Notamacropus eugenii: one gene and its partner. The protein of the gene in region 2 interacts with the protein of the main gene of each other region in a pairwise test. Links are inferred from orthologs where the notes say so. Each region holds a gene or a part of one and is shown on either strand. Other genes may lie near its edges.

Region 1 (7,932 bases), on a different chromosome or scaffold from region 2:
CCTGAAATGGTTGAACTGACCACCTGCTAGACTGAATTAAACAAATTGACTTATCATTCTGTTGTTTTTTAAACAGTCTCCAATGGAATCTTGCTTTGCAAACATCATTGTTCTCACTCAACATCTTAGCCAAAAGACTTTTATTGAATTCAATACTTGGGGATCTTTAGTTAGTCTGAAATTCTTAAAGTCAAAGAAAAATAAAATAAAAGAAAAGAAACCAAGCTAGCTTCCAATGACATCACAGGACAACTAAGAAATGATCATTATTTGGCATTTTAAGAATTAACCTGGAATTATTTTGTTTGCCTATAGATTATATAGATACAAATGATTTTCTGTTAAGTATATGATACCATTACTTTAAAATATGTTTATTCATGTCAAGAATTACTGAAGTTCTCTAAACATTATCAGCACTAATCTTCACGCATCTGGCAAATTCACTTAGTCAGCCAAAAAGGGGCTTCTCTATCACAGCAGATTAATAAAATGACCATTGAGTGCAGACATTGTGTTTCCAGCAAAGATGAGATGTTTTCCTCCTAAAAGTCTGCATTTCTTTGATTATATTTTAAAACTGTTTGGTAGCACCAAAATGCATTTGTCATGAATATTTTTAGAAGGCCATTATTTATAAACTATCTCATCATTTTCTTATCTGCAGTGGCCTTCTTGGACAACCACAGCTTGAACATATTTCAAAATCTTGTTCCCAGTTTCCTACTTCTTCAAGCATAGGAAAATTCATTCATTGAGAAGTTTTCTATTTTGGGCCACAATTTATTTTGGTTTTATTTTTAATTCCATTTTAAATATAGAATATCTATTTTTAAAATGTAAACATCTGATTTTACCCTTCACAATGATATCTCCTTAATCAAGACAGGACTACCATGTTAACATGCACAAACCTGCCGCAGGTGACATTATTATCTCCACTTTTATCTATCATTATTCCTGGCAAACCACATTCCCAAAACAATCCAAGTACATACAGCAAATCACTAAAATGGGAGCCGTCAATCGGGTCCATTAAGAGAACTTCACCCAGCTCTATCTGTTTACATCAACTTGTGAATTAGGGGGGGTAAGGGATGACTTAAATGCAATTTTACACCAAAATTTAATCTATTTCATTTGTAGGCTATTTCTCAAGGGTCCCATTTTGAGCAAAGAAAAGAACTCGGACCAACGGAGTATTTCTAAGCTGTCATGTTGAATTTCCACTTAAGGGGGTGGGGGGAGAGAATAATAACGGGAATACTTGTCAGCGATTAGCCATCCATAAAAATGTTTTCCCTTGCGCTCCTCCTTTCGATCACAATACTGGCGTCAGTTTGTCTCATGTATCTGTTCTCCCTCCTTACCTCCCCCCCCCACACACACTCCCCCCAAACAGAGACCTGGCAAGGAACCGCAAAGGCAAGGGAAAAGACAAATACAGCAGCCAGTGAAACGAATCCAAGGGCTAGCTCGGGCACACTTGAAAAACATTCCTCACTTGTCCTCTTTTAAGCGTCTCAAAGGTAAGCTACAAAACGGACGGTACGTGGGGTGACCCACCTGCCCTGCAGATTTCTTTAATCGTGCCAAAGAGTTACAGTTAATCACCCCCACTGCACCACGACCCCTCTCCCGATCCGAAATTCCCTCTTTCCCTTCCTTTACGCTCAGTCACAGGAATCGGTTACTTAGCTCCAGGTTTGGTACGGCAATGTGACTGGTGCCAGGCATCAGCGAGATGCCCGGGCAGTGGCGGGAAAGAAAGCGAGCATCTTAGCCCAAACCCTGGGCCAGGGCAGGAGCTGGGGGTCCAGCTCACTAGCTACCTCATCCACAGGCAACCCTCCCCTAGAGGACGCCCACCCGCCAGGGGCTGGCCAACCCTCCCACGCCCACCACCCCGGATTCCTGACAAGCGATCCCGCGAGGGGAGCATCCTCTAAAGGTCCAAGATCTTGTGAGGACCAGGTGGCTGCCATTGGGGCAGATGCGCAGGGCAGGGGGAAACAGCAGCGGGTCCCAAGACCCCGGGGCAGAAACGAAGTTTGTAACTCCCGGTCTGAAAGAAGGCACCGCGGAAAGGGGCAGTGCCCCTCACCCTTCCTTCCCACCCCACCCCCAACACCCACCCCAACGCAAAATGACAAAGCATGCTCCTGGCTTTAGGGAAACTTAAGCGATTTCCCCCACGCATAAACACGCGCGCGCGCACACCACACAACACACAGGCGCGCACAGACACTGCAGCTGAGGCCCCGCGCACAACTTGTAGATATTTGTACGGAGGGAGTCTCTTACCTGTCCCTGGTGATGCCACTCCCCCACCCCCACCCTCTTCTGGCGGCCCCCTCCTTCCCGGTGGGTGCCCCGCGCGTGCCCCCCTCTCCGAAGCGCTTCTCACCGCCTGCCCCGGGCGTGAGGACGGGCTGCCTGGCGGCGGCGGCGGCGCAGACACAGACAGCGGCGGGGCAGCGGCTGCAGGGGCATCGGCGGCAGCCCCAGCCCCAGCCCCAGCCGCAGCAGCAGCAGCAGCCCCAGCAGCCCCGACCGGCGTCAGTCAGGCTGGAGCCTCGCAGCCTCATCGCCCGTATTAGTGCGCCGACCTGGAAAGCCGCCAGAGAGCCTTTCTAGCTGGGTCCCGCCCCCGCCCCCGCCGAGAGATGGCAGGGAGGCAGCCCCGGAGGGGGGCCGGCCGGCGTCGGGGGACACGGCCAGCACCGCAAAACCCTACCCCGGGCTGCTTGTGCACGTGCCGGGAAATGTAGGGGAGCCAGAGACCCTGGGGCGGGGAGGGATGCGCCCGGAGGTCCTCTCCTTGCCTTCTCCCTTCGCCAGCTCTTTACTGTGCCATCCCCGCCACTGGCGCTTTTCCTGTCCGTGCCCCAATGGTGTCTAGCCCTCTTTCAGCTCCTTTTGGTTCCTTTTAATCGAAACCCAGCCGGAGCGCCACAATCCAAATACTAGGAAGTATGAGTTCGCTCCCAGAGCCCAGAGCCCTCATCTCTTGTCCTAGCCAGCCCTGCCTCTTCCTCCTCTTCTCTGGTATCTCTTTGTTCTTTCTACCTGGAACCTAAGATCAACCGGGAGGTTGTTTGTTAACAAATATTTAATACTGAAACACATTCGCTTGGGAACCGCAGGGTGCCCGGGTGCCGAGATGTCCTTCAGAGGCATTACTCTTAGTTACTTGAATTCGTCCCTTATTGGGTTTTTCAAAGAAAAGCCCTAGAAAGAGAACCCATTCCCCTCCACCCCACCCCCATCCAATGGATTTGCGTTGGCGCAAGCAAAACAAAATCTAATCACCCCGAGTGTCGTGCCGTGGTTAAAAGTAGTATAATTATGTGGATTGAGATTTCTCTTAAGTGTATTTATTTACTTAACACATAAGCATATAATATGTAACACTAGCCAATTTAATAAAGCTACAACCTTATATGCACGCTGGCTGTGTTAATGTACAACCGGCTTGCTCTGCAACTTAACTCTAAAAACTCACAGACCTGCCACCTAGAACTATATACCCTTGAATGGTATCAGGAGGGAGGGTACACACGGCTGGCCTCCGGTTCCTGCTCCACTGCATTCTAGTGGAAGCCAATAAGACAGCCCCTCTTTGAAAGCATGTTTAGGGTGTCAGTAAGGGAGAATTAGGCCTCACGGGAAGAGGCCAGTGAACTTGTGTGTAAGCTGAGTAGAATCACAGAATCATGGAATTTAAGAGTGGAAAAGACCTCAGCAGCTGTGTAGCGTCATCCATAAGGATTCCCCACTATAATATACTCTATAAATGATCATCTAGCATCTGCTTGAGGACCTACAACCAAGGGGAACCTATTGCCTCCAGAGGCAGGCTATTCCACTTTTGAACAGCTCTAATTGTTAGGGATTATTTTCCCTGACATCGACCCCAAATTTGCTGATTTTTAAAAATATGACTTAGCATCTCTCTCTCTCTCTCTCTCTCTCTCTCTCTCTCTCTCTCTGATACACACTGATTAAGTGACATATGGAAAGATATTGAACTTCTCAGTTCCTAATACAACTCTGTAAGATTCTAAATTGTTAGTCTGCATTAACTGAAGGAGTTTTTTCACATGGATTTTCCCACATGAAAAAAATAACTAATCAGTACTCAGAAAAAGACTCAACTCAATGTATTTTGACAGCTTGTTCAAAAATACTAACAATTCCCTGTACTAACGATTCCCTATTGATGACAAGATTCTCCAAATGCTTTCCTTGTTTAGTCATTTCAGTCATGTCCTATGACTTCAGTTGGAGTTATTTTGGCAAAGATACTGTAGTGATTTGTCATTTCCTTCTCTAACTCATTTTACAGGTGGGCACTGAGGCAAATCGGGTAAGTGACTTAGTAAGGGTCACACAGTTAGTAAGTGTCTAAGGCCAGATCTGAACTCTCCAAATGTTACTGTTAGTAAATAGCATGGTGCTAATTTCACTGAACCCAGACACACCACAAAGCCTCCTCAGTGAAATTTATAATTTTCCAAAAAGACTAGCTTAATCATCCATACTACAAACACAGTAGGCATGGAGGAAAAAACCCATTCCTAATATCATAAGATCATAGATTTAGTGCTAGGACAGACCTTAGAAAGCATCCAACCCTTTAGCACTTTTATGGATGAAAAAACTGAACCCCAGAAAGGTGGATCTTCCAAGGTCACCAAATTGGTAAGGGGTTGAAAGCTGTGTGTTCGTCCTTCATTGCCAAAGAAGACCACGCCATCAGAGAAACGATGACATGACTTGCACTTGATTTTGGTTTTTTTTGCGTAAGGGAGAGCTGTACAAGGTCACCAGCCCTGCTTCTCCTCCAGAGCCATCTGAGTCCAGTGACCAGATATTCATCAGGATGACTGGAGATGACCCAGGATGAGGCAATTAGGGGGGTTAAGGGACTTGCCCAAGGTCATACAGCTAGTGAGTATCAAGTGTCTGAGGTGAGATTTGAACTCAGGTCCTCCTGACTCTTGCACTGGTGCTCTATCTACTGTATCACCTAGCTGCCCCACATGTTGGGGTATAAGGTGTAAAAAGACTAGAAAGACAGGAGGGGCTACGTTATGAAGAGCTTTGAATGCCAAAAAGAGTGCTTGTATTTGCTCCTAGAGGCAAAAGGAAGCCACTAGAGTTTACTAAGTAGATCAGACTTGTACTTTAGGAACATCACTTTAGGAACTGAATGGAAGATGGCTTGAAGTGGGGAAAGATTTGAAGCAGACAGGCTATGGCAATAATCAAGGTGTGAGTTGATGAAGGCCTGAACTAGAGAGTGGTGGTAGCGTCAGAGGAGAGGAGACAGATTTGAACCAAGATTTTTTCAACTCCAACTTCAGAACCCTTTCCATCATGCCAAGATACTTAGAACACATTGTTGAACTAACAAGTTCAGAGTTAGTCTATGATTATTCTAATCCTGGGTGGGTATTGAAAACAGACAATAACAGAAACCAGAACTGAGAAGGATATCAAGCCAGTTTGTATTTGGGGAACTGAATGATGCTTTCAGTGACACCAAGTTATTTCTTGTTGCAAAAGCATATCTTTTTAAATGCAAATTATTTTCAAGTAGGCAATATTTTAGCACATTATTGAAAACCATGGTCTGTGAAGAATCAAGACGATAGGTGCCTCAAAGAGCAATGGAAAGATATGTTATGGGTGTAAGTGTTTGCAACATGTTCCCCGTAAAGGAGAAATGAGTTAGTAAAGCCCATGTGGTATCAGAAAAGAAGTTGGGTTGATCATGTGACAAGGATGAAAAACAAGAAACGAATAATACGGTCCTACATTGGCACCGTTAAGATATGGAAAAAGTCATGAATGAATGAGTGAATGAATAAATGTAAAACACATTGACAGATTTTTAGGCTATGTTGGGCAGTGCTAAATACTGGTGATATAAATATAAAAGTGAGAGTTCTCATGCTCAAGGAACTTATATTCTGATAGGACAGCTCAATGGGAAATGAAGGCCTCTAGGACACCCAGGGGCTCTTTGGGTAGGATTTACAAAGGACTTAATCAAAAATCACACCTGTTGGAAAAAGGTGTGGAGGGATTGTAATCAGTGCTGGGTGAAGTAATGTCCAATCTGATGAGGTCACAGACCCATCAAAATATTTACATATAATGGACCTGCTGGCCTTTCGTGCCCTAGATTCTGTGATTCCATCAGATTGTACCTGTTAGGTATCAGAAACAAAATGGCCTCAACCTGCTTCTGTGGCGGTAAATGTCTTCTGATTTCCAAATGTTATAATATTCTTAACAAATTCTTGCTTTCAACTTAGATTCCCAATACCTCAGTTCCTAAGAGTTGCTAAAATTTCACATTACTCAGGTGTTAAACATTCAACAGAATTCAATCCAACTATTCCTTCAAGAAGTAAGAGAAAAACAAAGAACTATATTCATAACAACACCTTCTATTATGGCAAAAACAAAAACAAAAATCTGACAACAAAGCAGGTAGATGGAAAGGAAGTACAAACAAACTCTATTATATGAGAGTAAAGGAATATTATTATTCAATAAGAAGAGATGAATGTGAGAAATTAATACAAATATAGAAAAATTTGTATGAGCCAGAGTGAGTGAAATAAGGAGAACCGCAGTCATAGCTACAATTCTGCGGTACAATGAATCAGCACTGGCTTTGGAGTTAAGAGAACTGGGGTTTAAATACCTCCCTGATGTTTACTATTCAAGTGACCTTGGGATGGTCCTCAGGTTCCATATCTATAAAACCAGGAAGTTGGAATAGGGGGCCCCTGAGATCCCTTATCTGTTTATATCTATGATTTTACAACTACAACAATGTAAAATACAAGATCACTAAAGGGAAAGACTCTAAGTAATTAAAAAGTGACAAGAGTCCTGGAGAATAGATTAAAAAATGTACCTACCTCCTCTCAGAGGAGAAGTGGAGAACTACTGAAGTAGAATGTCAAATATATTTTTGACTAAGGTCATTGGATCAGTTGTTTTTGCTCAAATTGTTTTTCCGTTATTTTCTTGTAAGGGAGGATTCCAGGATGGGAGAACAGAGGGTAGTATATCCAGAAATGATTAGGATACAAAAGCAAAAGATATCAATAATTTTTTTTAAATTAGGTTTGTTTTAACAGCATTGAATACACGAAAACTAACCAAGAACCCAAGGGTGAAAGTAGCAAAAAGACCACTCTGGTTTATTTAAGAAAAAAATTTTTAAACAAAATGTATTAAATTGTATTTTAATTTTCATCTTATATGGATACCATATACATAGGGTTTAAAGCTAAGAAAATATAAACTCTGTGTGGTACTAGCTACTTGTGATTTTGGCACAAACTCTTTACGTTCTCAGAATTCTTTCATCGTCTCTTGTTGGACCTGGATTTACAAATTCTTTGAGTGCTCACAGCCTGCTTTTTCTGTATACTCCCTGTTTCCTTACTGGTAAATATTTGTACTTACAGATATGATCCTTACCCCCTTTTAGAAGTTAGCCTCTATTCACTATTCCCTTCCAACCATTATTTATACAAATAGCATGTATTTAAAGTACACTGAGATATGGTGAATGCTTAGAAAGGAACTAGGAAATTCCATATTCAGGGCAGAAGGTTCAGTGTGCACAGTCTGCTGAGGGTAATCCAGAGTGATTATTGCACTAGCAGTGAGTGTGGGTTGTCCTGTATTATTCAGTTTGTAAATTACCCAGACTTCTTTGCTTTACCTTTCAACTGTATTTTCTTATTTTTTAGTCATCTCACTGCTTATTAGCCAAAGACTGAAAAATTTAAGATATAATAGAGATGAAACTCAAAATAATCACATTTTGCCATTTCCTAGTACCTTGTTTTAAAACTTTGGTTAGGTAGATCGATGCTTGCAATCAAAGATTCACCCAAT
Region 2 (7,660 bases):
ACAATCGTTGAATTGACTTCCAAAATACCACAGCAGAAGTCAATTACTGTTGACAGTTTGGGGAACAACATCTAAATGTTTCTAAGTCAAGCACTAATCTTTCAGAGCATGCAAAAAGAGTGCTGGATTGGAAATCAGAGGCTGTGTAACCCTGAACCTTTCTGGGCCTTCCTTAGTTCTTAATTTGTAAAATGAGGGAGCAGACTAATAACCACCAAGGTCCCTTCCAGCTCTAAATTTATGATCCTATAACCCAATATAAGATTTGCTAGTAATTTTTCTGGACAATGTACAGGGGAAATGATTCACCACATCTCCAAAAAAGCCTCACTAATCACCCTGCTAAAGAGCCAGAAATTATGCTCTCAGAGCTACTTAGAATGAGCATAAATCATACTATAGTAACTGCTTAGTGTAAGAGCCAAAAATCTCATTATAAAAAGCAAATGACTGTAACTGTATTTATCAACAGCACTCATCCCAGGTGAGGAGGGGATGCATTCTTAACTCCAGAAATTCACATAGGTGGGTATGCTGTTTCTATTCTCCATTAAAGTATTATTTTTCATATTAGTGAATCTCATGTTTAATACATTTAAAAGAGCACTGATGTCTCAATCTGAGAGGAAGTTTTCGGGATAAATAAGATGCTCCACAAAGTAAGACACACTTGCCAATTATTTTTAAAATTCCATCTACCAAAAGCAGGTATATTACAGTTCAAAACAGAAAGCAGATTTAAAGTTGGAAAGGTCCTTAAAAGTCAGAGTCCAACCTCTCATCTCAGAGACAAGAAAACTGAGGGTCAGAGAGGTTACCTGACTCACCCATGGATCACACAGGAAGCAAAAAGCATAACCTAAATTTAAACTCAGATTTTTTTTTTTTACTCCAAATCCATTGTTCTTTCCATTATACCACTGAATATACTACTTATATCGTGTAGGTGACTCTGCTCTTCTTCTGGGGTGTTTTGGACCTCCTGCATAATCTGTAGATAAAGAATTTTCAAACCCAAACAAGTTAACACATTCCAATGGCAGGCTGTAAGATAAATATAACGTTTGACAAACAACTTGATGTTCACAACTTCAAACCTTGTTTCTGATCCAAGAGTCACCTAAAGTAAAATGACAATTACAATATGTTTAGGAATTAGGGCCTGGACCTGTGAATTTCACTGGTGCACGGAACTCCTGGTGAAGGAAATTCTGTCAGCCAAGGCAGATCAGCACCTTCCTCCCACATGTACCTCGCTCTGAGAAGTTAAGTCACCCAGGCTGCCTCCAAGGCCAATAACTCCCTTTCCATTATCCCAAGATGCCCCCACTACAAAATGGGTTACTGGGGCAGGGGAAAGGGAGGTCTTACTCACTGACCAATACTTACTGTTGAGTGCCCCGTCCTCAGACACTCCAGTACCTCTCATGCCGAGGTAGGTGAGCCCAAGTATCAGGAAAAACAAGCAGGCAGCAGTCAAGAGAAACATGGATAAATAGTGGGCACTGAAGCCACCCGTGGTGGACACCTCCTCCCGTTTAAATTGCTGGAGAAGTTCCTCCTCCGGTTCTGAAAGCTTATGCTTGTTGTAGGTGTTTTTCAGGTAGGTATGATTGGAGCCCGTGTGATTGGAGTGATTGATCCTGAGCGAGGGGGAGGAGGCTGAGCCCATCAGAGGGTTGTGCGGGAGGCTGTTGGCGTAGACCCTGGAGGGGTCCAAGTGGAAACCCCCCCGACCGATGTGGTTGTTAGTTTTGCGATCCAGGGCCAGATCCCCGTCGGGGAGGGTCGAGGGCAGGAGTGGGGGCTGTTTCTTGGAGGTCAGGCGGTATCTGGGAATGGGGCTGCAGTCCAGCGGGTCGCCTCCCCCTCCCTCCTCCGGACCTCGCCTCCGGTCTAGACCGCCGGCGGCCCTGTCATTTCCCGGGCAGCCGCCGCCGGCCGCCGCGGGGTGCGAGGCCTCCCCTCGAGAGCCCGCGGGGGGCTTGCCGTGGCCGCGCCTGGGCCGGGACCGGAGCAGCGAGTCGTCCCTGAAGAGCGGCCGGGCGACGGCCACGTTGTCCTGCTCCTCCTCCTCCTCCGAGTCCGAGTAGTTCTCCCGGCAGCTGAAGGGGAGGAGCCGGCTGCCGTTCACGGGCCGGCTGCTCCAGCGCAGCTCCTCGCCCTCCGGCTCCCTCTCGCCGCCGCCGTCCGCTCCCTCCTCTGCGTCCTCCGGCGCGCCCTCTCTCCCCGGCGGCCCCAGGGGGTCCGGGCCGGCCGCGGCTCTCCGGGCCCCCCACCACGCGTGCGGCTTCCTCCTCTCGGCGGGCTGGCCGGGGCCCGCCTCGCCGTCGGCCAGGGGCGCGGGCTTGAGTCCGCCGCGGGACTGCAGGGCCGCCCGCTCCTTCCTGCCGCCGCTGGCCTGGTCCCGGGGGCTGGCCTCGGCGTCCGACTCGTCCGAGCTGAAGCCCAGCAGCACCTTGCTGCCGCCGCCGGCGCCGGCCAGGGCGGGGGCGGCCGCGGCTCCGGGCGGGTTATCGGGGGCCGAGGCCGAGCCGCGGCCGAGCGCCGCCGAGGTCCGCAGGTACGAGAGGTCGCCCGGCGGCGGCCTGCCCCCCGCGCCGGCGGCGGCCGCCCCCGCCCCCGCCCCCGGCGGCGCCCCCGCGGCCGCCGTGTTATTGTTGTTGCTGTTCCGCGTCTTGGCGCTGCGGGCCCCGGTCCGGTGCGGCGGCGGCTGCTGCTCCTGCGGCGGCGCCGGCGGCTGCTGCTGCTCCTCCTCGCGGAGCTTCTTCAGCTTCTTCAGGTAGACGGGCCGGGTGCTCTCCGTCACCGGGCCGGGAGACAGGCCGTAACGGCGGAGCTGAGAGAAGAGCTCCTCATCCGAGAGCTGCTGAGCCGCCGAAGCCGCCGCTGCAGCCGCCATCTTCTCTCTTGGGTGTTTTACAAGCTCCGCGCTACCGGAAGTGACGCGCCCACCCTAGACCCTGAACTAGACCCGTCGGCGTTGGCCTTCCCGAGCCGGCGGCGCCTGGGCCAATGGGAGGCGTGGGAAGGACTCACCTGAGCGGGAAGGGCCCACGTAAGGTGCGGCGGCGGGGAGGGGGGGAGCGCGCGGACGGTCGGCGCGCGCATCTCCGGGGAGGGGGCTGGCTCGGCTTGGGGGGGCGTGCGCGGACTCCGGCGCCCGACCCTGGGCTGCGCCTTCGAGAGCACCTTGACCGCCGCCCCCTCGCCGGGCTCGGCCGACCCCCTCGAGAGGAGGACGGGGAGGGTCCGCCCGGCAGCCCCGGCTCTCTTTGTCTCCCGTAGCCCGGACACTTTCTCCTTCCCTTCATGGATGACCTTAGCTTTTTTCTGTCTTTTTAATGCAAGAAAACGTTACTTCCCCAGCCGGGGCCTTTTACCAAAGAAGGAGGAAGAGGAAAAAAGAGGAGGGAGAAGGAGAAAGGGGAGGGAGAAGGAAGAATCAGAAAAGGAGGACTGATGAGTTTCTGGACGAGAGCTAACCTGCTTTTCTAAGGTCAAGGCTGCCAGGCCCCCAACCTACTGTAAGGAACCCACAAATTTCCTTTGCCAGCCCCCCATCCACATTTTTGAAAAATACCCCTGGGTCTGAGATGCCCAGCCTTGTTTATTTTTGAAAGGCTAGCGAATTAAACGAATCTGATTTTGAGAATCTTTTAAAGGCTTTGATTTCATTGTGGTTATAATTCGGAGAAGATTGCAGAAACCGTTTTTTGGTCATTTACTCCTCTGGAAGCAGGTGTCCAGGGTTGAACTTTATGAGTGAAGAATTTCTGGGAGTAGAGGAGCCTTGAACCTGAGCTCGTACCATCCCCTCTCCCCCAGGGACTTTCTGAAGGTGGTAAACCATTGTTCCACTGAGTAAACAACCGGCAAGTTTGCCCTGAAAACCACTGATTCTTGCTTTCTCCATCCCCTGAATACTGCAAGAGAATACTTAGAACTGGGCTTCTGCCAAAAAATATTTTCTCAGGGAAAACCTTTAAATTGAATACCATTTCATCCGGTCCCTGAGGATTTAAATCTGAACCTTTGGGACTAGAAATGTATTGTTTTTGCATGTTGAGAGGAAAATAGTTACAAACTTGCCTTAGCTACATAGTATCTATCCCATGTCTGGAACAGAGATACATATGCATGTTTTAGTGCCATGTCATGGCTAGGTGACTGTGCAAATTTTATAACTTGTAATGGAATCACAGAATTTCGTTTGAAAAAGACACAAGTAGCCATCTTATTCAGCCAAGTCCTTATTCCAGCATTCCTGACCAGTGGTCATCAAACAGGATGATGAAAGCAGTGCAAAAAAGGCACTAGAGTCTGGCTAGCATAGATAAATAAGAAGATTGTTGGAGGCAGCAAAATGCATTCTCTGGTTGAGCCCCACTTGTAAAGCACTTATCAAAGGATCTGGCAAATAGTAAGCAGTATATAAATGTTTGCTATCATGATTAGTATTATTATCATTATTTTATTACATTACAAAGCAAGTGAGGTCTAATGGGATGTTTCCAAGCTCTTGGATTTATTTTCTTCCTTACAAAGATGTGATTCAGTTTTACGATATTAGTATATTAGAAAGCTGGCCTTGGACCCAGGAAGACCTGAGTTCAAATTTCCCACCACTGTAAAAGTTAAACTGAATATGGAGCTGTTATATAAATTGCCTTTGAATTAAAAAAAAAAAGATTCTATGTGACTTTAAACAGCCCTCCCTCATTTAAATGCAATTCACTTGCAAGTCACAGCATCACCTTCCTGGTGCTATGATCCTCTTCCTAATGAAGGACAAAACTGTGAATAGTACATGCTGCCCACTGAACCAAACTGATCAGTTCTAGTTGAGCAAGACAGCTCTTACCCTCTCCTTTCTTGTTTTCCTCTCCCCTTCTTTTCCCTTCTTCCTTTTCCCTCTGTCCATTTTGGGTATTATACCCTCACTTCTGGGTACTCTACACAAAGGAATATAAATTTTGATCCTTGAAACCTCTGAAGATATCTTGGGATTTAGGTGCTAGATTTCTTTCTTAATGACCATACCTTAAACCCAATTCACTCTGGTTCTCATTGGTTGGCTGACAGTAGGTCCTAACCCAGGCCCCACTTAGTGGTCATTATTTGGGTCCTGATTGGTTCAGAGTAAATGTAAGTAGAATTTGTTTCTGTTTTGGTCAAAAACCCTGAGGTTCTTCCCTTCCCAGATTGATTTTTTTTTTTAATTAGGCAAAAGAGGCCATATTTTGTCTCATTTCTTACCTAGCCTTATTCACTGGATGGGCATTTCCTCAGTCAAACTGAGACCCGTTAAACCCCTTAGCTTAAAAAGACCAAGGTTTCCCACTACATCTGGGGCCATCACCAGTCATCCTGAATTATTTCTTGCCACTGGTTCTAGTTGGATCCTGAGGAGAAAGTGAGACTGGTGACTTTGCACAGCCCTCCCTCATTTAAATCCAGTTCACTTACAAGTCATGGCATCACCTTCCTGATACTATGGTCCTCTTTGAGAACAAAGGACAAACAATAATTAATGTTTAGAGAGCTGGCCTTGGAACCACGGAAGACCTTTCTTCAAATCTTCCACTATGGTAAAAGTTAAACTGAACATGGAGTTGTTATGTAAGTTGCCTTTGAACTGAAAGACAAGGATTCTATGTGTAATGCAAGAAGGTAGTTTCAGATACAGGTCTATTCAACTGAATGAGCATCACCTCACTCTAAGTGAGTACTGAAAAGGCCTTAGCCTAAAAGGCCAAGGTCTCCCATTGCATTCTGGGCTGTCTCCAGTCATCCTGAGGAAGATCTGGTCATTGGATCCAGATGGCTCAGGAGGAGAAAGTGAGGCTGGTGACCTTGCAAGCCCTCTCTCACTTAAAACAAAGTCAAGTGCACATCATGTCATCATTTCTCTGATGTCATGGTCCTCTTTGAGAAGGAGGATAAACAGTTTCAGATAAGTCTTTATATGGCCCAAGAGCTTCCTCCTTCTGAGTTCCAAGAAAAAGTATGCCAAAAGATGGACAATTTTCACTGTGTTGAAGATGTGGAAATTAATCCTGTCCTTGTTTCCTCAAGAGATCCTGTCACTTTTGCTTTCTCAGAAATTAACTAGAACGATAGGGACACATAAATAAAATTACTAAAGAGCGGTAACTGCTTATGATTAGAGTCTGGAAGGCTAAAATCCTCAAATGAGCTGAAGTTTATAAAAATATATACTGAAGAAAAACATACTTTAAAACTAAAATTTATTCAAAACTAGGAAGAAAAAGAAAACATAGAGAGTTATAGCAGTGTTGAGTTAAGATTGTTCAACCACTCCTATTTACTTCCTTTATTCCTCCTATTGGCCTTGTGTAGATGGGTTTCCCAATCTGTTCTGGGAAAGGATGTAAGGATTTATAACTCGCTAGTATTTATGACTAGGTGCTACCAGCCAGAGGAGATAGCACCCATCTCAATGTTAGATCTCTTTTCCTCTTCTCTTTTAATATTTAAAATATAGAAAAGTAAACAGACTTTTCTGGGGAGAGGTTTTGAGCTTCCATTAGGGAGCCCAAGGGGAAAAGGAGATAAAGGATTACCACCTTAGAGTTGTAGTCTTTGGGAAGGTTAATCTGCTTGTCCTAGAGAGAGGGTATATGAAGACATCCATTTAGATTGCCCTGAATGGTTCAGTGGTTCGTTGGAGAAATGGAAGGTGGCCTGTGTGCTGCAAGGGCTCAGAGGAAATTTTATGACATAAGAGTGAACTTACCCTTCCAGTGAGGTTTCTTAGTAGTAAAAGGCATGAACACTCAGTCAACCCTGAGCTGGTTGAGTTAGTATCCTTAGCTATATGTGATCTTTACAGATTATTAACATGGCTTTTGTACTGATACTCCTTATACTCCAAGCAATCTTGCTATCAAGAAGGGAAAAGGGAAGGGAACAAATAATTATTAAGCGTGTATAAGGCACAATTCTAAACACTTACAAATATTATCTTACTTAATCCTCAACAATAATCCTATAAGGTAAGTACTGTAATTATCCTCATTTTACAGTTGAGAAAACTGAGGCAGACAGGGGCCTGATTTGAACTCAAATCTTTGTGACTCCAAGCCCAACTTTCTGTCCACTGCAGCCATCAGAAAGCCTGAAGTACCTCAGACTAACTGGACTATGTCTTTTAAGAGTCACCCTGGGGTATGACTCCTAATTCTCCAGTATAATTGCTCCCTTCTGATTCACTCAGGTACTTATTTGTACCTCATAAAGGAATCACTTGGCTTAGTCTGAATTTTTACAGTTAGTTTAACACCTTGTTATCATCCCCAATAGTATAATATTAACATTAAGGCAAGCATGATTAACTCCTATTTTGCTTTCATCCACTCTAAAGCATATAGTACCCGCTCAAGGCCATACTTCTGGAAAGAGTATTCTACCTTCCCTGCCTCTACGTCTCCCCATCTACACATTCTTCAACTTAGTGTAATTTGGCCTTGGTTTCTACTACGCTATTGAAATTACCCTTTTAAAGGTCACTACCAATTAATTGCCAAACAATGATCTTTTCTCCTCATTCTACCTGACTATTCTGAAACTTTTAAGGCTGTTTTATACCTTGTCTTATGTGACTCTGCCCTCTCTAGTTCTACCTTTTTGATCTACC

The links.
Region 1: the proteins of LEMD3 (region 2) and SMAD9 interact in binary tests that used the Homo sapiens proteins (3 or more experiments, as listed by UniProt). The link is inferred for Notamacropus eugenii from reciprocal best matches to the Homo sapiens genes LEMD3 and SMAD9.

Annotation. Positions count from the first base shown.
Region 1 is NC_092876.1:98,422,029-98,429,960, forward strand, and holds the start of SMAD9 (mothers against decapentaplegic homolog 9), read right to left. Parts: upstream 3,022-7,932; 5' UTR 2,738-3,021; intron 2,718-2,737; exon of another isoform or gene 2,408-2,717; intron 2,360-2,407; exon of another isoform or gene 2,305-2,359; intron 1-2,304. UniProt on the Homo sapiens protein: Transcriptional modulator activated by BMP (bone morphogenetic proteins) type 1 receptor kinase. SMAD9 is a receptor-regulated SMAD (R-SMAD).
Region 2 is NC_092874.1:241,937,934-241,945,593, reverse strand, and holds the start of LEMD3 (inner nuclear membrane protein Man1), read right to left. Parts: upstream 3,007-7,660; 5' UTR 2,903-3,006; coding exon 1,390-2,902; intron 1-1,389.